4 linked regions of the Alligator mississippiensis genome follow. The protein of the gene in region 2 interacts with the protein of the main gene of each other region in a pairwise test. Links are inferred from orthologs where the notes say so. Each region holds a gene or a part of one and is shown on either strand. Other genes may lie near its edges.

Evidence for each region.
Region 1: the proteins of CHD3 (region 2) and SERBP1 interact in binary tests that used the Homo sapiens proteins (3 or more experiments, as listed by UniProt). The link is inferred for Alligator mississippiensis from reciprocal best matches to the Homo sapiens genes CHD3 and SERBP1.
Region 3: the proteins of CHD3 (region 2) and YAE1 interact in a two-hybrid assay, tested with the Homo sapiens proteins (2 studies listed by BioGRID and IntAct). The link is inferred for Alligator mississippiensis from reciprocal best matches to the Homo sapiens genes CHD3 and YAE1.
Region 4: the proteins of CHD3 (region 2) and SIRT6 interact in a two-hybrid assay, tested with the Homo sapiens proteins (2 studies listed by BioGRID and IntAct). The link is inferred for Alligator mississippiensis from reciprocal best matches to the Homo sapiens genes CHD3 and SIRT6.

The regions. Positions count from the first base shown.
Region 1 is NC_081828.1:18,225,795-18,232,950, reverse strand, and holds the start of SERBP1 (SERPINE1 mRNA-binding protein 1), read left to right. Parts: upstream 1-4,014; 5' UTR 4,015-4,116; coding exon 4,117-4,507; intron 4,508-7,156. UniProt on the Homo sapiens protein: Ribosome-binding protein that promotes ribosome hibernation, a process during which ribosomes are stabilized in an inactive state and preserved from proteasomal degradation.
Region 2 is NC_081838.1:24,914,189-24,921,564, reverse strand, and holds the start of CHD3 (chromodomain-helicase-DNA-binding protein 3), read right to left. Parts: upstream 3,058-7,376; 5' UTR 2,732-3,057; coding exon 2,506-2,731; intron 1-2,505.
Region 3 is NC_081828.1:124,882,319-124,889,739, forward strand, and holds the start of YAE1 (protein YAE1 homolog), read right to left. Parts: upstream 3,127-7,421; 5' UTR 2,986-3,126; exon of another isoform or gene 2,770-2,985; intron 2,690-2,769; exon of another isoform or gene 2,626-2,689; intron 2,525-2,625; 5' UTR 2,511-2,524; coding exon 2,394-2,510; intron 1-2,393. UniProt on the Homo sapiens protein: The complex LTO1:YAE1 functions as a target specific adapter that probably recruits apo-ABCE1 to the cytosolic iron-sulfur protein assembly (CIA) complex machinery. May be required for biogenesis of the large ribosomal subunit and initiation of translation.
Region 4 is NC_081839.1:5,435,904-5,443,351, reverse strand, and holds the start of SIRT6 (NAD-dependent protein deacylase sirtuin-6), read right to left. Parts: upstream 3,062-7,448; 5' UTR 3,010-3,061; coding exon 2,944-3,009; intron 1,798-2,943; coding exon 1,670-1,797; intron 1-1,669. UniProt on the Homo sapiens protein: NAD-dependent protein deacetylase, deacylase and mono-ADP-ribosyltransferase that plays an essential role in DNA damage repair, telomere maintenance, metabolic homeostasis, inflammation, tumorigenesis and aging.

The sequences.
Region 1 (7,156 bases), on a different chromosome or scaffold from region 2:
TCCTCTTCTACTCATAATTTTGCCTCCTGATAATTTTTCTCCAGCGGACTATTGACTTGTCTGCTGGGCAACTAGCCAAAGCACCTTATTTAAATTTATCTTTGAATATTCCAGCTCTGGACTGCCAGAGCAGACAGCAAGAAGAAATGGATAGGGTAACGATGTGGACTTGAACTTCCAGTGGCCACATTGCCCCAGGGAAATGTTAAGCAACCTTAAGTTGCAATACTGAGGAGGAGTTGGGGAGTGATGATCGCTGGCCTGTAAACATCCAAGTCACTTCTGCTACGCTGTACTTGACGTGGTCTAAAATTAAGTAAAAGTTACTAAGTTAAACAGGACGCTTGGTGAGTGAAGTTTCCTGAATTTAGGTTAGAAACCAACTAGTGCTCCTATATTACCAAAACTGTTCTGTTCTGTTATTGAAAGGTAAGATGCCTATCCCCACAACATGTTGTGCAAGGACTTTCCCTTTGCTTTTTAAATTTTTTTTATTTTTTTATTTTTTTTAAGCAACCGCAGTCAAACAAGGTGACATTTTAGGCATGTGTCAACATTCTAATTTAGATATTGCAATATTTTTTATGGTCAGAATTAGTGGGAAATTTGCAGGTGCTGAAAATGGTGAATTATAGAATTTATGGATTCATGTTTTTTGTCCTTTTTCTATAGAATTGAATTAATGTTTTGAGTTTAAACCACACTTCATTCATCTATGTTGGGCAATGTCAGTGTTGGGTCAGTAGATCTGTAGAATGTACCTAAAATATGAATGTAACCCAGTTGGGGGGAGGGCAGGGGGACAAAAAAAAGGCCCCAAAATTTAAAGTGTACAACCTCCAGAAGCCTTTCTCTCCTCTTAAACAGAATTAGTGAATGATCACAATATTCTCTGAATTTACTTCTAAGAAGATATTTTATTTTAACGAGTCTTGTCTAAGGCCTACTCCACAACACTTGGGGTATAATTTTAAATTGACTTGTTCACATCTATGTTTGGAAAACGTGTGTGACAATCCTAGTGGGAACAAGGCAATTTTATAATCTTTTTAATATCTTTATTTATAGATGGTGTGAGTACACCAGAGAGCAGTTCTGGAGCTATGAACTTCAGTATTGCAAAGCGGGGTTGAAGAGAACCACACTTGTGAGCCAAGGCAGCAGTTTAAGTGGCTCTACAACAGTGCTGTATCCTGAAGATTTATATAAGAAGTGCCCAGAAACTTTTCTTATTGGCTGTGCGCTACGAAAAACTACGACCAAAGGTAATTGACTGGAGAATCTCTCTATCTAAATCAGGGGCAGGTAAAGCCTGGCCTGCAGGCCATATCAGGCCTGTAGTGGCCTTCATTTCCCTACAGCCCCTGCCTGTGTTGCTGCGGCCAGTTTCCATGGAGACCCCAGCAGCAGTGAGGCCAGGGTTTCTTTCCATGGAGACCAGCCCCAGCAGCACTGGCAGGGCATGCAGCTGGGTGGGGAGCTGCTCTGGGATTGGGATCTTGCGCTGGTGATGGCATGGTCTGGAGCCAGGGCGGAACTGCGATCTGCTGCCCCCATACCTGGGGCAGGGATGTGCAGGCTGTGGATCATGGCTCTGCCCTGGCTCCGGACCATGCTGTCACTGCTGCAAGATCCCAGCCCTGGCCTCATAGTAGCTCCTTGCCAGCTGTGTGCCCTGCCAGTGTTGCTGCAGCCAGTCTCCATGGAAACCCTGGCCCTGAGGTCCCACTGCTGCTGGCATCTCCTTGGAAACTGGCCACAGCAATGCAGGCAGGGGCTGCTGGGACATGGAGTCTGGTACTGGTCAGATCCATCATTTTGACCACCCTGATCTAAACAAATCCCTTCCCATAACCAAGAACTCAGCCTCCATGTCTTTATCATCAGTTGTTCTTAGGATTTCAATTCAACCAGTTATAGTGAGTGCTTGTGGCTGATATCGATAGCCATTCCCCAGGTCACAGAATGAGATCACCCATATATTTGACAGACGGAGGACCCAAGCAGATGGTAACTCATTTTGGTCATTTAACTTGGATCACTTCCTGAAATCCTGATGTGGAGTTACATAATTGCTTTGAAGGGTGATGGACATGGTGCCCTTATCTTTTCATCTGCTACTGCTTTTGAAAGAGATTTGTACATCTCTAGTACGAAGGTCCTTTCCCTGTCTCAAGAACAGTAGGACATTGAGTTAAATCTAAGGGTGGGAAATTTGGAACCAACAAATAGTTTCTCACACAACTTGGTTAATCTATGAAAGGTATTGCCCCAAGACATTAATAGAGCCAAGAATTTAGTACTAAAAATGGATTGGCTATCTCTAGTTGTTAATGAACACCCAGCCTGTCAGAATTGCTGTAAAACTTTTGGAAGGACCACTAAACCTTGTGCATTACTGCTTAAACTAGTCTCTAATTTAAATTAGAGACCAGAGGGAGACTTGTACAGGGCAGGTTATCCCATAAATGGTGTGTTTTATGCTGTCAGAGACAGCATATAGATGTAGTTTTTTAATGACCTTGTATCTAGCACAGCATAGATGCACCTTTCCATCTCTGGGAACATCCTTCTTCAGCACTTTCATCTGACCATGTTTACTCCCTAATTATTAAATAAGATTTCAAATGTTCAAGCCAATACTTCACGTGGAGTTGGCCCTTCCTGTTTTACCTGCATTACTTCTAGGATTCTCACTCGATTTTTATCATAATTGTGTAAGAACCCTTTTGAGTCTCTAAATCAAGCAGCAGTTAACAGTAATCTGTAGCTCAAGATTGTCATCCCCCACCCCAAACCCTATCCCCTAAATATGAAAACACCCTGAAAATGGCTACTGTGCCACTATTGGATTCATATGTATTTGCATGCGAGAGAAAAGGAGACTTTTTATTTTAAAAGGTTTGGGCTAAAAAATTTGATAACCACAAGACACCTGATCCCTTGTTTCACAGTACTTTCAGCCTTACAACAAAGAGAAACCTTATTTGGGGGAAAAAAAAAACCAAACAAAGAACAAAAAAACTAAATTTGAGTTTCTACACTGACTAGAAAGTACCTTAAGTGGTTTCAGGCAGAAATACAAGGGTCAATGTATAGTAAAACTGATCTGAACATATCAACATATAAAAATGCATGTTGGTCTAATCACAGATCTGTGCTGCTTGCTTTTACTCCATATTCTTAAATGCTACCTAAGTTTATGCAAGTTAGAATGGCTTCCTATGCAGATGATAATATATTTCCCTAAAATTTGTAAATATGCAGTGGCCAGTCTGACTAATCCCTTAACTAAATCCTACAAATGCCAAATGGTTTTGTGGCTTTTTTTTAAGTAGTACTGTGTGTCCTTAAGGACACTAGGGGAACTTTTATTTTTCAAAAGTATTTTTATTTTTCAGGAAGACTCCTGAAATCAGCTGCATCTCTCTGCATGCCTATCTAAAAGTAGATGAGGATATGGACTTTTTTAAGTGACGAGAGGTACAAAGCAAGCGGCCACTCCCCTCTCACTTGGTCGACTCTCACTTGTTGCCAGCGTGAGCTGCGGTTCCCCTGCTTGAGCGGTGGCGGGTTGGGGCGCTATGTCTTGCTGGCCTGGGGTTAGGGTCTGGATAGGGGCTGCCTCCGTCCCTTGCAGAGAAACATGTCGCAGATTGCAAAGACGCTTATCCGGTTTCATTGCACATTCCGCTCCCTCCTTTCCGTATTTTAGTCCTTTAATGCTTCCCCACCCCACAGCTGCAGGCTGGAGCCTGCGCGACACCGCCACTCTTAGGCGTCCCCAAGGGCGGCCGCACGTGGCTCAACTCCCGGGGCGGGCGAGCAAAGGGGCCCGGAGCCAGTGCGCAGGCGCGGCCTGGCCAGCCCCCTGCACAACGACGGCGCGGTGGCCGCCGGGAAGCGTAGTCCAGCCCCGCCCCGCGCACGGGCTGCCAGCGGCGCGGGCCGCCTGCCGCTCCCGTCGTGCCCCGCGCGGGCGGGCGCCGGGCCCCGGATGTTCCCGGCGCCGGAAAAGAAGCGGGTCTCTTCAGGGTCGGCCATCTTGTGCGGTCGCGGGCAGGGGTCCGGGGCCTGGGCAGCATCGGAGGAGCATCCCGCCGACAAGGGCCCATCATGCCCGGACACCTGCAGGAAGGGTTCGGCTGCGTCGTCACCAACCGCTTCGACCAGCTCTTTGACGACGAGTCCGACCCCTTCGAGGTGCTGCAGGCGGCCGAGACCCGCCGGAAAGAGAGCGGCGGCGGCAGCAGCCAGGGGGGCGGCGGCGGCGGCGGGGCCCGCAGCGGCCCGGGGGCGCCGGCCAACTCGTCGGGCGGGGCCGGCGGCGGCGGCGCGGGGCAGGCGGGGGCCGGCGGCGGCCCGGGCAGCGCGGCCAAGCAGCTGCGCAGGGAGTCGCAGAAGGAGCGCAAGAACCCGCTGCCGCCCTTCGCCTCCGCGCCCGGGGGCGCCGCCGAGCGCCGGGACGAGGGCAGCGCCCAGCCCGCCGCGCCGCTGCGCAAGGAAGGTGAGCGAGGAGGCGCCGGGGCCCACCCACGTGCGGCCTCGGGCCTGCAGCGCGGCGATGGGGCGGCGGCTTCCCGCGGGGGGGAGGACTGGCCTGGCGGGAGCCCCGGCTGCTGGGCCGGGGTCGGGTGCCTGGGAGCTGCCCGAGTGCAGCCGGTGGCTCCCGGGCCACGTGCGGGCCCTGCCGCCGCCTCCTTGCAGGTGCCGCAAAATGGAGTCGGTCTCTTCATGCCTTGTCCGCTGCTACCGCTGTTGCTGTGGTGGAGCCCGAGCCCGCTCATGCGAACAGCCTGGGGATGGGGAAATCCTCGCTGGGAAAGAGCTGCCAAGAAACGAGGCCTGGAGTCCGCTCAAGGGGTTGTGGGGATTAACAGCCCGGGATTGAAGCTGCCTTGTTGGGGGAGGGGTGGGGTTTTTGTGGGGGATTTGGTTGGTGGGTTGTTCGTTTTTTTTTGTTTTTTGTTTTTTTTTTTTAACAGGTTCCCCCCCCCCCCCCCCCCCCCCCCCAATTGGTTGAGGGTTGTAGAAACTGGCTTGTGGCCTGGCTTGAGGTTCCTTTGAATGGGATGAATGTTAATAACTTTGCGTTCTTCAGATGCATCGTTCCCTGACGTCGCACGTGTATAAGCATCGTTCGCTGACGTTGCACGCAACCGTTTAATGGGCGGGTGGGGGAGCGTAACTTCTTATAGGAACAAGCGAAGGGAATAAAATGGAGCAAAATTAAATGAGTTACTTTTCATATCCAAACTAATGGTGCAGCACTGTGTGAGCACATGCTAAATCTTGTGCATGGGCCTTGTTTCGTAGCAGACAATGGGACTGCCCTTTTGCATATGTTTAGGTATTTTCAGGGTTGTGGACACATTTTGGAACATTTACTGTAAATGCTGCTTTAGTGTCTTGAAAGTGCCATGATATTTGGAGAAGGAAGCAAGGTGATTGCAATGTAGCTGAGATGAAGAAGCCTCTTCAAAAATCTTTAGAGTAGAAAAGTAGAATTGATATAAAGCATGACATTCATATTCCACTTCCCTTCAATACATCATGTTGGAAAATGATCCTCCGGACCTTTTCTGTTGCTTGAAAAAAGGTGAACAGTTCTAATAAAACCTGTCACTTCAAAACATTTTATCCAGGAAAATATTAAGGAAAACATTTTGTGTTAGGCAAAACTGAGAAACAGAAAGGGAGCATAATTTATTATCATGTGGGTATTCTCTACTTCAGAGCTGGGGGCTTAAGACCAGTTCAGAGCTTTGGTGTTCTTAAAAGTGGAATAAATGGTACAAAACATGATTGATAGTTATTAAGTGGTGGGGGAAAATTTATGAGGAGGGAAGACAGACTGCTGCCACACCGATTGTACTTGTGTTGACCCCTGGTTGACATTGTAAACTTTGAGATGTTTATTTGGACAACTCCCATGTTGAAAAAGCTCTGTTTTCTTTATTTCAACTTTCTTGTGCCTCCAAAATGACTAGTAACTTGAGCCTTTTTGCTGCAATTGAAGACATCAGAAAAGGGCAGGTCTGTTTGCTAGAATACATAAAGATGGTTTCAGATTTGTTGAGATGTAGTAGTTGAGAATTCAGTTTTAATTTTATGTGATCCCCCCCTGCTTTTTTTTTTTTTTGGTTTGGTTTTTTTCATTATTGTTCCCCCTAGTGCAAGGACAAAATGGATGGATAAACATTATTTTATAAGTTTGATTCATGAATACAAATGTGTCGACTCACCAGTCATGAAATTTTCTAAATTGCCCACGTGTTAGTCAAAAGAATGGCAGCTTTTCAGTTGGTGAGCTCTGCATACTTTTATAATATATAACCTAGATATGAATGTAGTTGATAAGGCAACAAATAAGGATTTTTTTGTAAGGTACTGGCCTGGGACACGAGATCTGGGTTCATTTCAAGTCTGAGTTAGTACTACTTTACAAAGTAAATCCATTTCATGCAGATTATTTAACAAGAAGCTTTATTTATTTATTTATTTAAACTAATGTTGGATAGTGTTTCTAGAGCAGGGAAGCCATTGTTCATTTGGGTGTTTGACATGATGGAGATCATTACAAATGCAGTGGCTATAACCCCACCCACATATGTTGCTTGCTTGATAGGGGTTTGCTCAGTTGGGGAAAGATATAAAATATCACAGTGTTCTTTTAATAAGAGGACACAGAGTATAGTTAAATTCCCAGTACTTGAAGTGTAAACAGAATCCTGCAAAATAATTATGGTAGCTATTCTCAGAGAAAAGTTACTATTTTCAAAGCCAGATTTCATAGACTAGGGCTGGAAGAAACCTCAGAAGATCATCGAGTCCAGCACCTCGACCGAAGGGCAGGAAGTCAGCTGGGGTCATAGGATCCCAGCAAGATAAGCATCCAATTTTCTCTTGAAGGTGTTCAGTGTAGGTGCTTGAAAGATATTTTTTTCTCCTCAGATATTAAGGCTGTCCTGCTGATTTGATCTAGAATTTATTATGTAGTTTGATTGGGCATTAGAGCAATTTACTTATACAGAAAAATTAACAGAACCTAGGCTTCTTCTGCACCTGCTGTTTTTGGGGATTTTTTTGTTTTGTTTTCTTGGTTTTTTTAACGTGACCAGGAGCCATAGTTGTCTGTTGTGGCATTTAGTTTTCA
Region 2 (7,376 bases):
TTGATCCTACGCCACTCTTGCCTGAGCCAGCCTGCTGCGGCCCAGTAATTAAACTGAGGCTTGTTCTCGAATCAAGAACAGAGTAACTTTGGAATCTTCAATGTAATGCTTCATGGCGGGAGATTATAAAGGCACCAAGAGCTGGGGCTGATGCTAAAACCCACCGTGTTTAACCATGAATGAAACAGCGAGCGAGCGAGAAGTCGAGGACCCCGTGGGCAATCCTGTGATGGAAGACAGTGGGTGCGAGGCGGGGGGGGATGAGCGTGCACAGCTCCAAGCAATGGGGCTTGATCCAGAAGGGAAAATGGCGGCATTTGATACACACACGCCTCCACCGCCCCCCCTTCCCAACACTTCACATCTTCCCCCAGGCTCCGTGATTTGCAGAGAGCAAATCAAAGCCAGCTCCGCTGGGGGAAGCTGCGCGTTCAAAACCAACAACAAAGGCTCCCGGCTATATCGGTCTGGGGTTTCAAGCACCCCAGGGCTCAGAGGCCGAGGCAACATGTCCCAGGCAACTGGTGTGCGGGTTCGCCTGTCCCGCCACCTGAAGCTTTTTCCCATAAGGCACCGGCTTCCCCGCCTTTGCTCTGATCACGGCTGACAAGGCCTGTCCCTAGAGACAAGCTCGGCAGCTGATGTGGCCCTGACCCCGGGCTGCCCGATTCCCCCTGTCCTCAAGTCACCCTTCCCGCCCACCAGGCCTGACCCCGGCTGCTCCCGGTGGGCAGATCTGCCAGGGCACCTTTTGCTGATGGAGCTTCAGCCCTGCAGGGGACCCCCGTATCCCGCCAGCCCCATCGAGCTGGGTGCTGAGAGATCCCTGTGCCCACAAAAATCATGAGGGCGAGGGCTGATCCCCAGGCGGAGAACCAGATGCCACCTGTGCGGCGCCCTCCGTTTGGCCAAGGCCCAGCAGCCACTGAGCATGGTGACCCCGAGTGATCTCAGCCCTGTCCAACCTGGCAGACACCCTCCCGGCCTCGGGCTCCCCACAGGGCCCCAACCTGCCTGCCAAGAGCCCGGCCTGCTGCCAAGTACCCACGGGCCGCATCCAGTCGCACATCCTCCCGCCCACCCGGCCTGCACCATCGCCAGCACCATCCTGCTTAAACGCACAGGCCTGTTTGGCACAACGGGCACCCTCTACTCCTGCCAACCCACCCCCTGTGGGGCCAGAGGGTGTCAAGTGCCCCCCACTGCTGCCAACTGACTGCATCCTGACCCCAGGCCCCACTCCGCAGACCACCAAGCACACTAAGGATGGCTCCCCCCATCAAAGTGACCCTCCTCCTGAAGTGACCAGACCCCCCCCCCCATCTTTGAGGCAGGGGAAGAAGAGGGGGCATGCAAACAGAGGGGCACTCAGCACTTCAGCAGTGTGGGGCCTACCGTGTGGGGGGAGGGGGCACCTGGCTAAAGTGATGGGGGGGAAAGGGGGATGGGGGTCTGCCCCCCACTGCTGCTGCCTAAGGAGACAATTCCCTGGGGGGGGCTTGTTTACCAACCCCTAGGGTGGAGACACAAGGGGGATCCCCCTCCACAATCTCCTGGGGGGAGCTAGACACTCTCAGGCCCCAACCCAGGGTGGAGAAGGAACCGAGGGTGAGGAACCCCCCCCCATGAAACCCTCAAGGGGGGGCTAGAAACTCTCCTAAGCCCCACCCCTCCCCCACCCACAACAGTCCAATATGGGGGGGTAGAAACTCCTTCCACCTTCAATGACCCAATGGGGGGGGCTAGAGATTCCCCCCACCCTCAAGGGCCCAATATGAGAAGGGTGCTAGAAACTCCCACCACCCAACATAGAGGAGGGGGGGCTAGAAACTCCAGCCACCTTCAATGGCCCTATATGGCGGCGGAGGCAGAAACTCCCACCACCCAATATAAAGGGGGGTTAGAAACTCCAGCCCCTCTCAATGGCCCAATATAGAGGGGGGAGCAGAACCTTGCATCACTGTCAATGTCCCAATATGGGGGGAGGGGGGCTAGAAACTCCCACCACCCAATACAGAGGGGGGCTTGGAAACTCTTGTCACCTTCAACTGCCCAATATGGGGGGGGGTGTTAAAACTCCCATCACCCATTATACAGGGGGGTTCAGAAATTCCTGCCACCCTCAACGGCCCAATATGCGGGGGGGGGGCTAAAAACTCCCAGCACCCAATATAGACCGGGGGGGGGGGGGCTACGAACTCCCACTACTCTCAACAGCCCAATATGAGGGGGGGCTAAAAACTCCCACCACCCACTATGGGGGGGTGTTTACAAACTCCCGCCACCTTCAACGGCCCAACTGGGGGGGGGGCAGAAACTCCCCGGCCGCGGACGCTGCTGGGGGGAGGGGCGGCCGGGCCGGGCCCCTCGCGGTGGCGGAGCCGTTGGGGCGGGGGGGGGGGGGCGCGTGGAACCCTCGGGCCGCCACGTTCCAAAGCCGTTGGTTGTTTACAAACAGGGGCCGGGGGGGCGCCCCGCTCGGGGGGGAGGCGGGGGGCTGTTTACCTGCGGGCGCCTCAGTGGCCGCGGCGGCGGGCGGAGTGGATGCTGCTGGGGCTGGCGCCAGGGGCATGGGCCCCGCCTGGGCGGCGGGCAGGAATATGTCGCCGGGGCTGTTGTCCCCTGCTCCTTCTTCCTCCTCCTCTTCCTCCTCTTCGTCTTCATCCCCCTCCGCCTCAGACACCACCATCTCCTCCTCCTCTTCCTCGTCCTCCCTCAGAGGGGAAGCCATGGTGGTGCGGGGGGGGGCGGGGAGGGGGAGAGGGAAGGGGGAGCCCCCCCTCACCACGCACGAACCCTCTCCCCCCTCACAACACCGAAAACACAGCACGGGGGAAAAGTCCCATGAAGAAAAGGGTTAAAAAAAGGGGGGGGCGAGGAGAGGAAAAAAAAAAGGAGAAAAAAACTCCACTCAACTCCCCCCCCCCCCCCCCCCGTGGAAAAAAAATAAATAAGGGGGTGGGGGTAAAAATATATATATATATATCTCTATCAAAGCTGAGGGGGCCGCTCAGAATAATATTTTCCACAAGAGCAAGGAGCAAAAATGGCCGCCCTTCAATTATTTTTAAAACAGGCCCCCCCAGGAGGTAAAAAAGGAAAAAAAAAATCCCCCCCCCTTTCCACCCCTTTTCTTTATTTTTTTTTTTAAAGAAAACAAGATGGCTGGCTTCTTTAAAAAAAAAAAAGTTCCCCCCCCCTCCCGACACACACACCTCTTCCTTGAGGTTAAAAAAACAAAAAACAAAAAAAAAAACCCAAGAAAGATTTTTAAAAAGAGTAGGAAAAAAAAGCCTCAACAAAAAAAATCAGGCACCAATAACCACCCCCCCCAAAAAAAATCTGCGCTCCCCCCCTTTTTCCCCCTTCCCTCTCAATATATATATAAATATAGATAGCTCTTTCTTTCTTTCTCTCTCTCTGTTTTGTTTTGGTTTCTTTTAATCTCTCGCAAAGATCTCAGATCATTGCATAGATGAACAATATTTGTATATTCCTGGCACTGGGGGAACTGAAAGAGAAAGATTTCTGCATAAAACAAAGATGGCTGCTCTAAATTATTTCTTTTTTTTTCTTATACTCCCCCCCCCCAACCTCCCTCAATAAAAATATTTTTTACCCGGGTGGGGGGGAGAGAAAAGGCTGGATTAATCAGTACTCATGCTCAGTATGACATCAGCATAAATTGTTAAAGGTTAACTAGTTCCATACTAGTAACACCATGATTTTTTTTTTTTTTTTTTTGCTTCCTCTTTACTAGTCTACGCGAGAGTGGGGGGAAAGGGGCTTTTTTTCCCCCTTCCCTTTCTTACTTCTAAATACTTCAGAAGGGAGTGGCTTTTTCTTTCTTTCTTTAGCCTGTCTGGCAATGAAAAAAACCCCAAAAAACAACCTTGCAATTCATTTAAGTGTAGGGTCCAAATTCGTTTAAGGGCATTGTTAGGAAGTATTTAACTGTTTTCCTTGATGTTATTTTTTTTTGGTGGGGGGAGGGGGGGAGCTCATGTCAGGTATTTTTATTTTCCAGCACTTTTATTTTCCTTCTGCTAAAAAAAAGCACCATCCTTTCTGTTTCTTTCTAAATACCTTCCCCATCTTACCTCCCCCCCCCGCCCAGCTACACACGCGCGCACACTAAAAATTGGGGACTACAAATATTTCAGTGTCTTCCTTATTTTATTTTTCTCTTGAACTATTTTACTGAAGTGTTTCACTGGTATCAAGTGCTGCAAAGTGCTTTTTGCATCCCCCCTCCCCAAGAAAACAAATAGAAAGTGGGGTGCATCCAAAAAACAAACAAACCAGGACACGATATTCTGGAGGGCTCTGATCCTGTGACGGCCTCTGGACAGTTGTGAGGACCTGCTGACCTTGCTAGACCAAGCAAGCAAAAGGCATGTCAAAAACCACAAGCAGGTCCCTAGGGCCTGATCCACTGGGTCTGCTCACATGAGCAAGGGGACACATGCACGTGTTAAATAAGGAGTCTGGGCGAGGGGAACTGCCAGTAGATTGGGGGAATTCCAGACTTCTACGTTTTCGGCATGGTTGGGCTTCCGCTGCATACCAAATCCTCGCCCTCCCTAGGTAAGCACGTGAAGAACGCCATCCCCCGTAGCTGTTACTTTCCAACCTCCCTCCTCCAGGCCTCCAACACGAGAGCAGCCAGGACCCCCTTCCTTAAAGAAATGAAGGACACCATCTCTCATTTTAATCTCTTGTTCTTTTTGGTAGCTGTATCCTGCTTTGCAGGACGAGCCTCCAGAATGTCATCCACCGCCCACCACTTCCGTGTGAGCAGACTCGACAGCAAGGTCAGGGCCTGAGTGAGGATTCCTACCAGTTGCTTAATGGGTTTTGTTTAGGCACAGTCTTTCCAGGCCCCTGGATTGAGAGATGGTAGTTTTATCGTTTCTAGAACTGGCGGGTCGGTGGGTGAAAAAGTGCAGATCAGGGTATGCAACTGTGCCTGCTTGACTAGTGGTCCATCCCCGGATGGTGTGAAGCATGCAGGAGATGTGATGTCCCTCGAACCTTCCATTGTGCAAATCCGCCGCTCCCCCAACATGTCAGTGGTGATCTGTGGTCCCAAATTTCTCCCCTTTCTGTTTCCCCAGATCAGCTGGGATGATTATTAGCTTTGTGCCCCTGCCCCATTAACATTTCTGTGTGTGGCCTGCTGGTCTGAGATACAAAAATCCTTTGCTGTTGAAGGCCAGGAAGGATGGATCGAGTCTTTTGCTGCCTGCGGAAATGCATCAAATCTTTTCCGGATACCAGGCTTTCAATTTCCAGACCTGTAAGACAGCCCCAGCACGTTCCACAAAGAGAAAAGAGGGCCATGGACTATCTTTCCCGCTAAACAAATTGTGGGAACCCCTAACCAGGTCCAAACCCAGGTCATCTTGCAAAGAGAGAACATCCAACCTTTTGGAGAAGCCTCACTGGAACCAACAGACTTTTGCCTCACCTTACAGCTGGAGCCATCATTAACAGGAAGGATTTAGCAAAGAGTGGTGTGTTTATATGTTTAATTATGGCATTAAATCTCATGGGGCTGAGATTTTCTGTGGGAGCACCTGGACTCTTCCCCCTCACATGCCTCTGATCTGCACACACATCCCTGGAAACGCGGCGTCTGCTGCTTCCTTCTCGGCAATCTTCCCCCTGTAGGATAGTCATAAATACCCGCGTAGGATATGCCCATCGCCTGCAGGGACTCGCAGCTTGCCAACCAAATGGTTCCCTCTGTGCCTTTTATATTTAATTCAACACCCCTCCGGCCCCCCAGGAGCCTGGGCGTCGAGCCTATTCATTCATGTCAAAACAGTTCCCCGGTGCTGCTGGAAGCCAACAATTGGGGAGGAATTTGGAGGCCAGAGGGAACCTGAGTTGGTTTTCATTTTTCTCTCCTTCTTTCAAAGGCAATTTCCAAGGTTTTTTTGGAGTTTTTTTTCTTCCCTCTCTCTGTGGCTGCTTGGATCTTCAGCTGGTTTTGTCATCTGCTGAGCTGCCTGGGGGGGGAACAGGGAGATCCAACAGGACAAAGCGCTAACCTGCCTCTTCAGCTGCTCATTGAGTTGCGGTCGGGGGGGAGCAGGTCATGCCATTGCACATGATAGGCCCCGATACATGTTGAGAGCAAGGCGCGCATTTCCTGCCAACAAGTGAGACTCAGCTTAAACTTGACCCTGGCTGTTTGTGGCTTGGTCTAGATCCCTCAGGGAGCAGCAAGGGTTTTTCTTCTCTCTTCCTTTTTTCCTCAATCTGTCTCTCACTGTCTTTGATGCTTCTTTGTAGCTCATCAAGTGTCAGGGATTGCACTGCAGACCCATACAGAATGACACTAATAGGGGAGCTGTCGTGTTTATCTGAAGGGCTTCACCCACCGCCGTTCGGCTGACAAGAGGGTCAAAGATTGGCTCCGAGTGCCGCCTGCCCTCCCCCCACCAGGGGAACTGCCTGTTTGCTTCCAAGGCAATTGCTGGCAGTTCTTCCCTGCTGATTTCCTACTGCACGCCTTACTCTCCTCTCTAATAAGGGAAGGCTGCGTGGCAGCTTTCAGGAACAGGGCAGGCATGCCAAGGCCAAGGCTTCCAGGACCTTGGAAGCAAACAGGAGTTCCAGCATCAACTTCCCCCAGGCCAGGATATCACCCTGCTTAATCTTGCCTATAGCTGTGCGGCTGAGGCGCTGGGTGGAGTCCCAGAAACAGCCTCTGATACAGATTCCCTCTCAGTCTTGCCACTCAATCTCTCCGCGGGGTGCTAACATCCTTGCTTGGGTCTCCCCTTCCAGTTTAAATCTAAAATCTCTTCTGGGCAGGAACTGACGCTTCTCTACATGCAGCCAAACAGGGCAAAGATTTCTGACAGGGCCAAGGCACACCCTTTTTTTTTTTAGCAGCTGGGGTCCCATCGAAGTGTTTCTGATATAGCATGGTATTGCCTGGGCTGCACAAATACAGCTCCTTTTGGGCTTGGAGCTGGGCCAGCTGGTTACACGGCCCATGAACTGGACCCGTATATTTCAGAGGGTTTTTATAAGGCCAACAAAAATAGCACGTTCCCCTCTTCCACCGATTCAAGCTCCACTCTGACTGGGATTTCCCAGCCTGGGGCTGAGACATGCGGTTGCCATACATTTCATCCGCATCCCGCTTCTCCTGCTAACAGCTTACCAGTTGGCATCCTCCAAGAATGCTCCTTGCTGTAACGAGTTGACCTGGGTGAAGCTGTATCGATTTGCGGCCACTGAAGATTGAACCTGAGAGCTGTTGGAGGCACAGAAAGGATGATTAACTGGTTTCCCCACCGGCTAGCCCAGAGCGGTTCCCTCTGGGAATGCATAGAATGAGCCTTGCATTGAAAACAAAA
Region 3 (7,421 bases), on a different chromosome or scaffold from region 2:
CACAAAGCTGGTAGTGTGGATAGCCTCTTGCCAGAATCAGAGACAGTGAGATCAGGAAACAGTGGTAGCATACTTCACATCTGCTTGTTTATGCTACAGTAGATTGATTAGAGACAGGCAAAATAGCTAAATTATTATATATTGGTTGCTACGGGTATGACCTGTCATTGATGTCAACAGCATGTTATGCTTAAAAAAAAATAGTAAAGGGTGGGCCTTGTCTCTCAATTACCAGTGTCTAACACCTTCATGAAACAACTTCTTTATGAATCAGCATTTTACAACACTTAACCTTTTACATTTTCAGTTTACTATATAAATTGTCATTATACACAACCCCTGTGAGAGAGATGTCTATTATTTTATAAAAGTAGATGAGAGAGTGAGATTAAGTTACTTGCCCAAGGCCACAAAGAAGGTCAGTGGCAAAGCTACAAATCGAGGTTAGAAGACTTTTCAAGCCCACCACACCTCTCGGTTCCCACCTTTTTAAAGACAGAATGCAGCAGATATTTAGCAACAATTCTGCTATGACGGTGTTCCCTATCAAAAAGGTGAATGATCACATGACTGATTTTGCATATTTTTGCCACTAAGCATGTGTGTGTGTCTGTTGATGCACTGGAATTTGTAAGCAGAAAGCCCATGAGTATTTGAAGGAATAGATTTACGTACAATTATGCAGCAAGAGTCCATCATTATAAACTGTAACTGAATAGTGAATGTGTATGAATATTTAATCTGGGGTAGAGTTAAGCATTCAGGATTGTGGTTATAAATTTTTGGATTTTCAGGAATACTCAGACAGTCTCTTAATAAAAGAATCTCAAATATGTTCCACTTGGCATCATTTCATTAATTCTGTTCAGTTTTCAAGTCACTCAGAAGAAACTGAACCATCATGATCTTTACTAAGGCTGTGCGAAACTGCGGTAGCCAATTTGATTCGGAGGAGATCTGGCCTGATTTGGCGGCCAAATCTCCAAATTGAATCAGGACACCATTAAAAGGTCCAAATTGAATCGGAAGCCTCTGATTCAATCCAGCGCCAATTCGGAGAGTAAACAGGCAGCAGTCCTCTACCACACTGGACACAGCTGCTTCCAGCTGGTAAGTCTGTTGTGATGGGCAGAGGGGGGAGGAAAGGAGCATGGGGTGGGGGGCATATCAACGCCCCCACAGCGAGGGAGAGATTGGGGCTGGGACAAGCTGTCCAGCCAGGGTAAGGGGGCGGGAGTCTCCTGCCACTGGACACCATTGGTCTGGGAGGGCATGGGAGCGGGCGTGTGCCCCTGGATCTGCGTGGGGTAGGCTGGGCCGGGCTGCGCTCCAGGAGGCTAGCTCCAGCTGTCTGCTGCCAGGCTGCACTCTGTGGGGTAGGTAGGGCCTGGGCGGTGCTCCTGGCACCTAGCCCCAGCCTCAGTCCAGAGTGCAGCCCTGGCTCCGCCCACCCCACAGAGCGCAGAGAAGTAGGGGCTATGGGGGGGGCTGCAGCAACCCTAAAATTCCCCACAGCCCCTGCCGCTGGCCCCTCCTCAATCCGGGTCCACTCGCCCACCCCAATGCACTGTTGCTGCTTGCCCAGCCGAGGCATGGCGGGGTGAAGCTGCGGCTTGTCCAGGTGGCACACGGAGGCTGCAACAGCTTCTGCCACTGCACACTACTTGTCCGAGGCAGTGCAGTGGCATGGTCCTGTGCCTCCCCGCCCCGGCTGGGCGAGCAGCAGGAGGGCATAGCCCCCACTCCCAGTGCCTTCTGCCTGGAGCAAGCTGCACCTGCATTGCACGCCCCCCTGGCTGGACTAGCGGCGGCAAGGCAGAGCCCCTGCTCCCAGTGCCTTCTGCCCAGAGTGAGCCGCACCTCCATCATGCCCCCCACCCCCCGGCTGGGCAAACAGCAGCAGGGCATAGCTCCTGCTCCAAGTGCTGCCACTCCCACATCCTGCACTTCCCCTGCCCCGACTGGGCAGCTTGTCCCAGCCCCAGCTCCAGTCCCAGCCCCAACCCCAATCCCCACCTTGCTGTGGGGGCACTGATCTACATGCCCCCCACCCTGCCCCTTCTTTCCCACCTCTGCCCACCACAACGGACTTATCAGCTGGAAGCAGCTGTGGCCAGCATGGTCGAGGACTGCTGCCTGTTTAGTCTACGGTTGAATCTCTGAATTGTCGCCCAATCTTTGGATCCAATTCGGCCGAATTGAATCAGGACAGCAACTCGAATCACCGTCCCTCTGAATTGGCTGAATCCGAATCGAATACCTGCTGCTTCGCACAGGCCTAATTTGTAAGCAGCCATTCTCACTTTTGCTTATTTAAACAAGCATTATTTAAGCAGTAGGAAAGAAAACGGCTAAAAGGCTACTGAAAACATCATGACGGTGATAAAGATTACCTTGATCCTTTTCTCCATGGTGCTCTTCCACTCTTTTTGTACGAGGTGCATCTCATCAGCATCTTCATCGAATACATCCTCTCTGGGCCTGCTGACTGCAGCTTGTACCCAGGACATGGTAGCAGGAGCTCCTAGGAACACCACAGGTACAGTCAGATGCCAAACAGAGCTTCCACCCCAGCACTAAGTCAGAACCCCAGGCAGGAAGGGCAGGTTTTTGAGGAAAGCTAACCTCAGAAACCAGTAATCCCAATTTCAGGTTTACTTTCACATTGCATCAAGATGCCAGGCAATGTCTGTCAAAGGAAGCAAGGCAGATTGTGTCAAAGAAAACTACGTTGTGCATCTCAATTTGTTGGCTTTTGCCAGCACTTACCCCGTCTCCAGCTCCTCTGAAACAACACCCGAGTCCTCAATACTATTTGTGCCCGTTTTGGGGACCAAAACACAACCTCAAGCTCTAATCCTGCCAAGACTGGTGTCCTTAACTTTGTGTGCAATAAGTAGACCGATTGACTTCACGGTGCTGGACAGTTATATTTAACTGAATAGCGGCGGGACTGGGTGCTCGGCTCCTAACGAGGAGTTTTACCCCAAGCAGTTTCCTGGCGGTGGTATCAAGCGGGGCCCGGCGGCTCGCTGGGTCCTTCAGGAAGGAGGGGGCCGCGCTCAAACCCCGCCCCTCTTCCCGGGCCGTCGGAAACAGCACGCAAAGGGGGCGGGGCCTATGCCTCCGGCCCCGCCCCCTGCTCCGAGGTGCGCGCGCGCCTTAGCACTCACGTGGGGACGGCTCAGGCGCTCGCGGCCCCGCCTCTTCCGCGGGCGGGGCCGGGAGTGGGCTGGGCCCAGCCGCACGGGGAGGGCGGCATCTCCCAGTCCAGCCCCGCCCCCAGGGGGAAGCAGGCACCCTCCCGCATGTAGCGCCGCGCAGGGCGGGGCCTGGGAGAGAGGGCGGGACAAGTGCTGGAGTGGCTGTTGAACCCCGGCCTGGCTCGGGAGAAGGCGTCCCTGCCTGCAGCTTGCTGGGCAGGCTGCGAACGGGGGCGCTGTCTTCAGAGCCCCGGGCCTGAGGCAGCTGCATGCGCGCCTCGGGGGGAGGGGCTGGGGCAGCATCGCGCGGCTCCTGCGCCGCCCTCCGCCTGGACGCGCCGTCTACCACGACCCGGCGGGTCCCTTGTCCCCGTCTGTGCTCTCCGCACCCGCCCCGGGCCGGGAGACTCAGAGGCGGGGCAGAAGGGGGCGGATGTGACGTGCCCTCAGGACAGCTGGGAGGAGGCGGGACAGACACTCGTCCGCCCCGAGCAGTGAGCACCCCGCTTGTAAGAGAGGCAGTGGCTGTAGGCAGGTTTTTTTAGGAAAGTCTACCCGCTATGGATCCCGAGTGAATAGCAGCCTCCGTGCAGTTCTGACCTAACCCCAAAAGGTGGGATTTTAGATTTTCTCCCTGTCTTCAGTGTCTCTTCTTTGCTACCTCTAGACAGCTGGAGCATGCTGGCCGTTTTGGATCACATACTGAGATGCCAACGTCTCTACATGCATTGTATAGGGAGCACCTAGGTGCCTAGCACAGAAGTCTAGATTTCTCTCAGGTTGTGCTGCCCAACTTTTAAGCACAACCTGAGAGAGTTTGGCACTTGGGTCTTTCACTGACCCAAGTGCCAAACCACTTAGCACTGGAATAATAGTACAGCTAGAATTTCAAAAAGAGATCATGGTCTCAAAACTTACTTTAGAATTCCTTTGAACTGGCCACAGGTCCTCATCATCTTGGCCCCTTCTCTGTATCCCTGATTGAAGCCCTGCTGGAGTGCACATTCTTTTCCAGCCTCAACTCCATCTCTGTAGCCTTCCTGTAAGGAAGGTGACAAGAAAGGAAGTTACTTGTGGGAAGAATTACAACTCCCAAATCAAGTATTTTACAAGCACTGTAAAAGCGCAAGCCTAAAGAAGCATTCGGTTTTTCAGAAATTAGCTTTCTAATTTGGCTAGATGTATGCAATTCTTGCCAAGTAGAAAAGAGAGATTCCAGGAAAAGTTTTGGATTGTCATAAGAACGAGTCACAAAGCTGGTGGTGTTGATAGCATCTTACCAGAATCAGAGACAGTGAGATCAGGAAACAGTGGTAGCATACTTCACATCTGCTTGTTTATGCTACAGTAGGTTGATTAGAGACAGGCAAAATAGCTAAATTATTATATATTGGTTGCTAGGAGTATGATCTGTCATTGATGTCAACAGTATGTTATGCTTTAAAAAAAAGGGGTAAAAGGTGGCCATTGTCTCTCACCAGTGTTTTATCACCTTCATGAAACAACATCCTTACGAATCAGCATTTAACAACACTTAACGCTTTACATGTTCAGTTTACTATTCAAACTAATTGGCAATATACAACAGCCTTGTGAGAGAGATGTTTATTTAGAAAAAAAGAAGAGAGTGGCATGAAGTTACTTGCTAGGGGGTGCAGGGACCCTGCCCCCAGCTGCACCCAGCCTCCAGTTATATGAGGTAGGCACGTGGCTCTGGGCGGCAGTTCACTCAGTAGCCTGTTGCTACTAGTGCTGATTTCTGTGGGGATGAAAGGAAGGGGTTGCCTGGTCTGAGAGACCAGTTTGTGTATATGTGTGTGTGTAGCGTGCAAGGCAGATATTGTAATAGGTCCAGGTGGCCAACGGTCCTTTGTATGTGTGTGGTTTTTGTAACGGGTTAAGGTTTTCTTTGTGGAGTGATACTCGGAGTATAGATATGTATAACCTCATATACATATAGACATATATTTTTACAAAAAACAATTCTGCAAACAGAGTTTAAGATTGCATATTATGCCATTTTATTTTGCTTTGTTAAATTATTGCAGACTTAGTTTTTGCTCTCGCTCAAGCCAGTTTGTACTGTTTAGTTTGTTTTGTTCTATTCAACGGATTCATATTCAGCTTTTGCTCTCTCTGCACACGAATCAGCTTTATTTTGCTCTGTTAAATGGATTCATATTCAGTTTCTGCTCTCTCAAGTCAGTTCACATGAATCAGTTTATTTTGCTCTGTTATTTTGATTCATATTCAGCTTTTGCTCTCTCTGCACATGAATCAGCTTATTTTGCTCTGTTAAATGGACTTATATACAGCTTTTGCTCTCTCTCAAGCCACTTCACATGAATCAGTTTATTTTGCTCTGAAAATAATTTCTTATTCAGTTTTTCATTCTCTTAAACCAGTTCATATTTTTCAGGTTTTTACTTTATTAAAACTGTTTGTATTCTGTTTATCTTGATCTCTCTGCTTTGCGTTCCTTGATTTAAACACTACATATTGCTCATTTGTGTGTGTGTGTTTTCTGCACTTCGATTGCCTTCTTGGAAATACTTACCCAGATTTACATGTACTTCAAATAATTCAGTTCTTTCTGATTTTCTCCTTTCTGTTTGCCTGTTTAAATTGTTTGTGCTGCCTTCGGTTTGTGTGAACTTCAGGAAATTTTACAGGTAGAAGGCATATCAATATATAACTATGGATAGTAAAAAAACAAAGTTTGGAAAGGCAAGTGTTTTACAGATGGAGACAACTTAAAGGATTCTTTCTTAAAACGTGCTGAGGATTTTGCCAATAAGACATCATTGCTCATACTGGTGAAATGCCGCTGTCATCCAGGACTGTTCAAAGGCTAAAATAGATGAAATGGCAACTAATGTTAGGGAACAAGTGACTCGAGACCTCCATGCTTGTGATGCGATGAGCCTTGCACTGGGTGAAAGTTTATGTCTATAAACGATATCCGGCATCTTGCTATAATTGTTTGATATTTTGTCTCTGGGGAAGTTGGGAGGAATTGTTTTCTTTGCATGCTATGCAAAGCACAACAAAGACCAATGTTATACTTAATGTTGTCAAAGTTATTTTCACACTGCAACAAACTGACCTGCACAAAGTGTTCTCTGTTACCACTGATGGTGCACCTGCTATGGTGGGTAAAGCAGTTGGATTTGTAAAGCTTCTGGAAACTTAGATTGGACATCCTCTTATAAGTTTCCATTGTATTATTCATCAGGAGAGCCTGTGCGCTAAGATTTCATCTTCTGATTTAAATGAAATCATGACAGTGGTGTGAAAATGTCAGCTTTTTGATTGCCCGCTCCTCTTTGACACACAGGGGATTCCGTGAACTTTTAAATGATGTGGATTCTGCATATGGAGATTTAGTGCTGCACAGTAATGTACACTGGTTGAGTCGAGGTAACATGCTCAAGCGATTTGTTGCTTGTCTCGAATCCACCTAGTTATTTCTTGAAAAAAGTGGTCAGCAATATGCAGACCTTACTGATGACAGGTGGCTAACAAAACTGATGTTTTTGACAGACATCACATCACATTTAGATTATTTGAATACTAGGTTACAAGGAACACAGAAAACCATCCTTCAGCTGTCTGACGACTGGAAAGCTTTCTGTGATAAGATGTCTGTTTTCAGATGAGATATCGAAACGTCTGCCTTCTGTTACTACCCCAGTCTGAAAATCCATTCCGAGCAGCATCAATTGAATAATAGGAATATGTGCAACTACATAGGACAGCTGGAAGATGTGTACACCAGATGTTTCCAAGACTTTTGCAACAGAGGACTCATATTTTCATTTCTTGTGAACCTGGACAGTACTAGGGAAAGTGATATTGAACTGCGGTACTTTCAGTGGATGAACACTGAAGGATTTAAATTGGTACTCCTTGACTTTCAAAGCTCATGCATCTGGGCACTGAAGTTCACATCACTGCAAGGTAAATTTGAGAATGAAAGGGAATGGTAACTCAAGACTACATTATGTTGGTCTTCCCTTCCTGAAAAGTATGCATGAATAAATAAGTAGCTTTTGCCTTGCTGTCTGTCTTTGGATCTACTTATCGGTGTGAACACGTGTTTTCACAAATGAAAACCATACTCGGTCCTATGAGAAACCATCTGATGACTGACCATTTGGATACATGTTTGTGTTTAACAACCAGCTACCAGCCTAACATCACCAAACTCAGCTGTCA
Region 4 (7,448 bases), on a different chromosome or scaffold from region 2:
CTTGCGGTTTGGGAAACAGGCTGCCAGGAGCAGTGGAGCAAGCTAGAAGAAGCCACTGTAACGTTTACCTCCTAGGACCTGGCTTAAGCAATCTCTGGGTTCAGCCTGGACAGCAGCACAGGCCCCTGCCTAGGGAGCAGCGCACCACGTGGCAGCTTTGATGCGGGATAAGACTGGTGGGACCCAGCTGATCCCGCTGCAGGCTAGATAACATCACAAGGAAGTTTTTCCCATGCTTTGCAGGACACAGAAATGGTGCGTCCACTTCTTTCCCTGAGACGCCAGCCCATACACTGAGCCTCTGTGACCAAGACCTTCCCTATGTCCTGCCCACACTGTTTTTTCTTCATTTTCATCCCATTGCTTTTAATTACATCCCCTTAAAACATCCCCTCCCCTGCGTGCTTTCACACCAAGGGAACACCTGCTCTTGCCTGGGCTGTGATACACCCTTGGGCAACTTCAGTGTCCTTCATAGTTGAGCATGGATTATTGCTGTCAGAGCAGAGCCCTGCGGGCCAGGGGAACCACCGGGCAGGGAGGTTCTGGGTACTGCCGCATCACCAGGGAGCGGGTGTATCTAGAGGAAACTGCACGGCATCAGTTTATACACACAATCCCCTCTCTGGAGGGATGAGATGCATGGGTCTGGCTGTAGCCACAGCCCTCAGCAGCGAAGGGAACCAGCAGGGAGCAGCCACAATGGGAAACTCAACTATGGCAAAATACCAGGCTTAATCCCCCAAGAAATCGCCCCAGTGGGCACCACAGACCCAACCCCTGTTCACAAGCTTCCCAGGCCGGTCTCCAAAGGCATGGTGTCACCTGCTGTTTAAAAGAACAGACCAGCCCAGAGATACAGAAGCTGCTCAGTATTAGGAGACAGCCTCAAACGTAACTACCTAGCTTCACAGTCTCTCTGGGCTCCCCCGCTACCCAGCACACACCAAACAACTGTACTGAGTGGTGAACGCTGGGATACGGTTTTACTACTGCAGAACCGGCACCAGAGAAATGTCCCATGGACTTCAACGCACGATCACAGCCCATTTGGGCCATGAAGTAGCAAACCCGAGACCAAACTACAGCTAGGAGTTCATAGAAGGAAAGCAACCTTTTCACATCCCAACATCCCACAGCCACAGAGAAGCGTTTTGGAAAAAAAAAAAAAAAATCAGAAAAACAACAGCTATAATTAATGAGGAAACAGGACATCTTCCCTACAGCACTTAACCCACTGAGTCACTAAGCCAGGGCTGGCAATGCTGCCAGGATTAAATCACTTTTCATTAGCAAACACCATCAGTGTGATCACTCCAGGCACCTTCCATCACACCCCCACCTCCTCATAGCCCCCTTCCTCCGCAAATCTTAAGGCATTTTCTAAACTTTTGCAAAATACCTGTGCCTGCTTCTCTCCCAGAGACCTGAGCAACAATACTGCAACCCCAAAGCCTACGCCAACCACGCAGTTCCTCCAGTACAAGATATCACCCACATGAATTCTTGCCTGTGCACTACAGAGATTTTATAGATGGTGAAACCGAAGTACAGAAATATAAATCAATTTTTATAGCCGCATAGCAACCAGGAGAAAGCTAATGCTCAGCATGCCACGTTACCCATAATCCCACTCTGCTTCAACAACACAGGATCTTTCTTCCTTCACCTGAAGTCGGGGATCCCTACGGCTGTGCTGATCCCAGCCCCAGTGTGAAACACCACGTTGGAAGAACTCCTTATCAGGTCGGCCAGCTCATGCACTTTCCTCTCCAGCTCCTCCGGAGGATCAAAGATCTGATGGAAAGAAATGGAGACAGAAATAAGTTTCCCACATGGCCCCAAGCGCAGGAAGAGACGGAGAACAAGATTACATTGCTGCTGATAGCTAAAGTGCATCAGCACTTAACAGGGTAGAAAGAGCATTATCTTAGAGAGGACACTTCTCCCCGCTCAGGACATCCAGATCTTCCTTTCCAATCTGCTTCAGAGAGGCAAGGAGCTGCTCTGGATTTCAGCAAGTAATTAACTGGCTGAGAAATACTTTGCCCTCTCACTGCTGCTCTCTTCAAAGCAGGTAACAATAGATACCCTCCCTCCTTGCCTCCGTTTTACAGGTGGGAAAACTGAGACTTTACTAAGTGACATGACTTGGCCACAGCAGAACCCGAAAAAGATCTCGGGGCCCCTGAGGCCCAGCCCTGCCCCTCTCAGGCAGCTAATAAATGCCGCCGGCCTGCAGGAAGGATGGCGCGAGACACAGGCCAAGCCTCCAGACCAAAGCCCAATGCTCGCTGCCCGCGGGCGACGCTGCCGAGCAACACGTCCAAGGCAACGTTAGTCTCCATGGGGCTGGACGGACACCAGCCGTTCCCTGGGGTGACAGGCCCTGCTCCACCGAAGGGGACAGACGTCGCGGTGCAGACCCCCTGCCCGCCGGGCTGACAACCTGATGGCACGTGGCCGCTGGTCCCCAACCCACGCCTGCCATGTTGCGTGTGGGGGACACACACACCCCAGCTACAGGTGAGCGCCGGCCCCTGCCCAGGCAGGAAGCAGAGCCCAGGCCTCCCCAATTCCTGGGGCAAGGAGCGCTCTGCAGCGCCCGGGCCGGGGGCACCCCCGCGGCAGGCTGGGCTAGCGGGGCTTGCACCCTGGCACCCCACTGCCCCCCCGGCGCCTGCCAGAGTGGGGGCGCGGGGAGCACAGGTGCCTTGTCCCCTGGGCAGGGGATGGAGGGGGCCAAACCCCAGGAGGGGGTGATGGGGAGCGGGACTAGACCCAAGGGGGCGGGGCCAGAGCCCAGAAGGTGGGGTGGGGGCGGGGCCAGGCCCTAGGATGGGGGGGAAGGGCGGTGGGGGAGGGGAGGGGATGGGGCAGCAGCCCCCCCCAGGGGCTGAAGGTGGGGGAGGGGCGAGGGGTGCTGCACCGCCGGCCACTCACCTCGGGGAGGCCGCACTTGCCCTTGTCCGAGTAGGGGGACAGCCCGGCCGCGTAATTCACCGACATGGCCCCGCAGCCGCCGCCCGCCTCCGCGCCGCTGTCAATAAAGTTCTCATTGTTGTCAATTCCTGCCGGCCGGGCGGAAGCGCGCCGGGCGTCGCGAAGCCGCCGTGCCTCACTCCGCATGCGCACGAGCCCCGGGCGGTGGTGGCGGTGCCGCCATGTTGGTTCCTGGCAGAAAGGTCTCTGCCCGTCCTTGGCAGAGCTGGGGCAGGCGCCTGGACCTGGCAGGGGGAGAGATGTGCCTGGCTCTGGGGGAGGACAGCGGGTCCTCCTTGCAGCAGCACTGCAGGACCTGCTGCTCTGACAGGGGATCCCCCCCATCCCTGGACTCCAGGAGCTGGCGCTTAAAGAAATACCACGTATCCCACAGTTGTCAGGGAGCAGAGCCAGGCTGCCTAAGGGGCGCAGCAGGTGCCCTGTAGCTTCTCCAGGCCTGTTGATTGTGAAAGTTGGGAGCCCCGTTAGAAAGGGAGAGCGCAACAGCTGACCGCTTGGGACGACTGAAAAGAAAACAGGGAAGGGAGCGCGGTCACGGGTGCAAAACAAGGGATCCAAGGGGACACGGAGCAGAGCGCGCCCACTAGCGCCCGCTGCCCCCTGAATGAGTCGGGGGAGCCTGCGGGCACCCGCCAGTGACACTGCCTGGAGAAGTGAGAGGACAGCCCCACATCACCAGGCTCCCTGAGCCTGAGCCTCTGTCCTGGTCTGGCAGATGGCCAGCTTGGCCGGAGGCTGACTGGGAGGTCCTGGGACTTGGTGGGGCCACGGATGGGCTGCGGTGCCTGGTGCTTTCCTGCTTGGGGAACACCCTATGTGCAGCCTCACCTGTCCTAAAGTGGAAGCCCTGCGATGCCTAAGCAGGGGGCAAGGACAAAGCCGACCCAATGGTACCTTTCAGTACTGGATTTTGCAAGCCATTTCCAGCACTCCTCAGCAGGCCTCCTGCCACTGCGAAGTCTAGGCTTGTGCATTGTTCTTTCTCTCCCTTCATAGTCTTTGCAAGATATTTTACAGTCCACTGTTTGGCTGGGAGCATGTCTACTTGCTCAAATACTCTGTGCCCAGCCTGCTATAGATGCTAGAGAAAAAAAATCCATTAATTAGCAAGCACAGGTCCTGATCTGCTGAGCTCCGGGTGGGTTAAAGGTTCCAGTCATCTCGGCACAGAAAAGAGGATTGTGCGATCCCTGGACCTGGTGCTCAATGTGCCTGGTTTTCCCACCTCAGTTCCTGACCAACCAAGTGACCTTGAGGCAGTCGCTTCCCATGTCTGTGACTCTCTGTTCCTATCTGTAATGTGGAAAAAAACAATACCTACCTCCCAGGGATTGTGGGAGGGTCCCTCAGCTCTAGCAAAGCCTTAGAGAAAAGAAAAGGAATCACGGGGCAACATCTTGTCATGTTTGCACGCTGAAGATCAAGGGAAACCTTTAGCTCTACAAACCAAGTCCCCAGGCTGCTCCATGGGGGATGTCCCTGCGAGGTGTGGAGCCTGTTGCAGGATCAGGGCCTAGAGGCCATCCATGAACAGGACCCTCCATTCCCTTGCTTGTTGCTGCTGCTTTCCAGGTTCTTTAACGGTATGGTATGCATGGAGAATAATTACCCTGGCTTCCCAGAGCTAGTGGGGAGCCTGAGGGGTATGGAGGGCCTGATGATGAGAAGTGCTCTGCACCTGTGACATCTGGGCTACTCAGGACTATGGAGATGCTCAGAGATGGAGACACAGCTCCAGAGTAATGTAGTGCCCTGGACACCGTGCAGCGCTGAGCTGCAGCCCGCTGTAGCAAGGTAATCGTACCTGTAGCAGGTAAGTAACCCAATTCCCAGTGCAGCGATGTCCCTCCCCTGGTTTCTCCTCATTCGCAGTGACACAGCCTCACCCGGGCTGGGCCACCTCTGATACGGTGAGCTCCCATCAATCAAGACAGAAGTAAGGAGACTCTTCAGAGTTTGTTCTGCCCTTGGCACTGAACGTGTAACAGAGGAGTGAGAACCTGCCCGAGCTGCACCTGACGGTATCAACAAGGTAGGGATGGGGCTTGGAGGGAAGATGCGAGACTGGCCCAAAGTCCGGTAGCCCTGGAGCTGCAGGTTTCACACATCTGCGATCAGGACTGAGGGACTCTTGCTGCAGCTGAACAAGTCAGGGCTAATATATGAAGTCATTCATTGCTCTGTACAAGTGCAGGGACTCCCAGGGGCTCTGACATCCTGGGAGACTGCTCCAGAGCCAATGCAAACACCTAGATTGGCAAGGAGGCAGGTCCCTAGGCAAAAGTAATGGCCCTGACAGCTGACAGCAATGCCAACGGGCTGGGTTCCTGTCCGGTGCTAGCATGGTACAGCACGGCATAGAGGGCTGTGCAGCAGGGCAGGGCTGGGGGGGGGTTAGACGAGAGGATGGAGGATGAGCACTCCTGGTTTCTGTCTCTTTGCCATGGGGGACCCTTAATTTGCCTGTGCCTCAGGCCCTGGGGAGCCCACACTGAAGTCATGTGGAGGCATATGCCTCCTCGGGAGACCCAGCCCTCCGGCGTTCTCAAGCAGCGGGGCAGGAAGAGCCTGCGGGTGGAGAAGGGGTGCATGCATTTGAAATAAACAGCTGCCCAAAAGACTGGTACCTTTGGGGGGGCTGTCGAGCTACCTTGAGGCTGGAGGGTGGGGGCATGGAGGCCTGCTGGCAGCAAACACAAGGCTACAGGGCTAGACCGGGGGGGGGCCAATACTCCTCAAAGGGGTCCAGGGAGGAATTTTGCCCAGAGGCACGAGGTGACAAGGGAGCAGCCCCCCACACACCCATCCAGCCTCCGCCTCTTCCTCGGGGCGTTGTGGACACGAGGGTCAGGAATTCGTGGGCAGGGAGGTCTTGGGCGTTGGATGGGGTCTGCAGAGGTGGAGGCTGCAGAAGTAAGGCCAACCAGACTGCCAGCCTCTCCCCTTCCCACAGAGGCACAGGCAGGAAGCGCCCTGTCTCGGGACTCTGCGCTCTCTCCCGGGCACATGAGCACACCCAATAGCCAGGGCAAATGCCACAGACTCCACCTGGCCCCTCCATCTATATTCCAGTTGTGGCATCACCAGCCTCTAGCACCCCTGTTGTGGTGGGGGCTGTGTTAGCACAGGCACAGAGAGGAGGTCTCCTCCCTCCATGGCTGGGACACGCCTGGGCACCAAGGTGAGCTCCCAGGTGCTGAGGAGGTGCTGGTCAGAGACCGGCAGCTTGGAGGGACCTTTAACATGAGTTATCCTGCAGGGTCAGGGCCAAAATGAAGAGTCAGCCAAAATTTTTGCCTGGGGCTGAGTGTCCTGTCTGTACCTACAGAGCCTTGAGCCCCTACAGTGCCCATCGTCCATGCCCTGCAGCCGGCTGGTGGAGGGCCGTGGTCTGATGCCACATGTAATGCCATTCCAGTCCTCTCCCCTCTCGAACATGGTGAGCACCCCGAATCAGGACCCTCAGGGCAGGAGGCACAGGAAGATATTGAGACTGATTGTGAGACTGCCGATGAAGGGCCAGAGTTTTGCTAGGATCTTACAGCTGCTTTGTATCCCCCGTTTAGATCTACCCCCTGCAGCCCAGAGCACGGGGACAAAGCCACCATGAAGAGCCTGCGGGCCAGGTTTAAGAAGAGTGAAGTGAGTATCTGAGGGCGGTCGGTCGGGGGCACCATGATGAACCCATGAACCAGTGCTCGGCTGCTGGAGTGGGTGTTTTTTTCCACTGACAAGTGAGAGAGAGGTCCCGAGTGCTTGTGCTCATTTAAAATCCCATGGTGCCTGTTCCAAGTACGGGAACTGCTCCTCCAACACCCCCTCTCCTCCCCTCCCACAGGCAGATAATGCAATGGCTAGCCCCTAACACTTCCCCCTCCATCCCCTATGAGTCACTGGGAGATTCCTGCACGCCATCAGCTGGGAAGGGCTTGAAGGAGGAAACCCCCCCCGAAACGTTTCCAGGGTGGGGGAGTTGTAATGAAGTTTGACTACTCCAGGCATCGGCAGCTGGTTCGTCTTGCAGTCGCCAGGCTCCATAGCAGCCTCGGCAATCCCTTGTCTTCTGCCTTTAGGCCACTGCCCCTTCCTGTCACCTTGGGGTGCATGTACCTGTTACCGCTCTGGCTGCTCCAAGCATTCCTCCCTCAAGTTCCTCCCTCGCTTCTCTCTCCTGGAAGATCCTCTCCCATCTCCCTGCCTCTGTGAAGCAGCAGACCCTCCTGGCCCCTTCCCCAGCAGGCAGAGCAGGGCTTTCTGGGGAGAGGCTGCTGAGATGTCACGGCGCTCAACCCATCCAAGCCAGCAGGTCCTGCTTTGTCCCCACAGACATCAAGCACTGCAGTGTTAGCGCAATAGACTGTCCCCAGTCCTGGCACTGACCTGCTGAGTGATCTCAGGCCTGTCACCTCCTTGCTCTGTGCCTCAGTTTCCCTCTCTGTGGAACA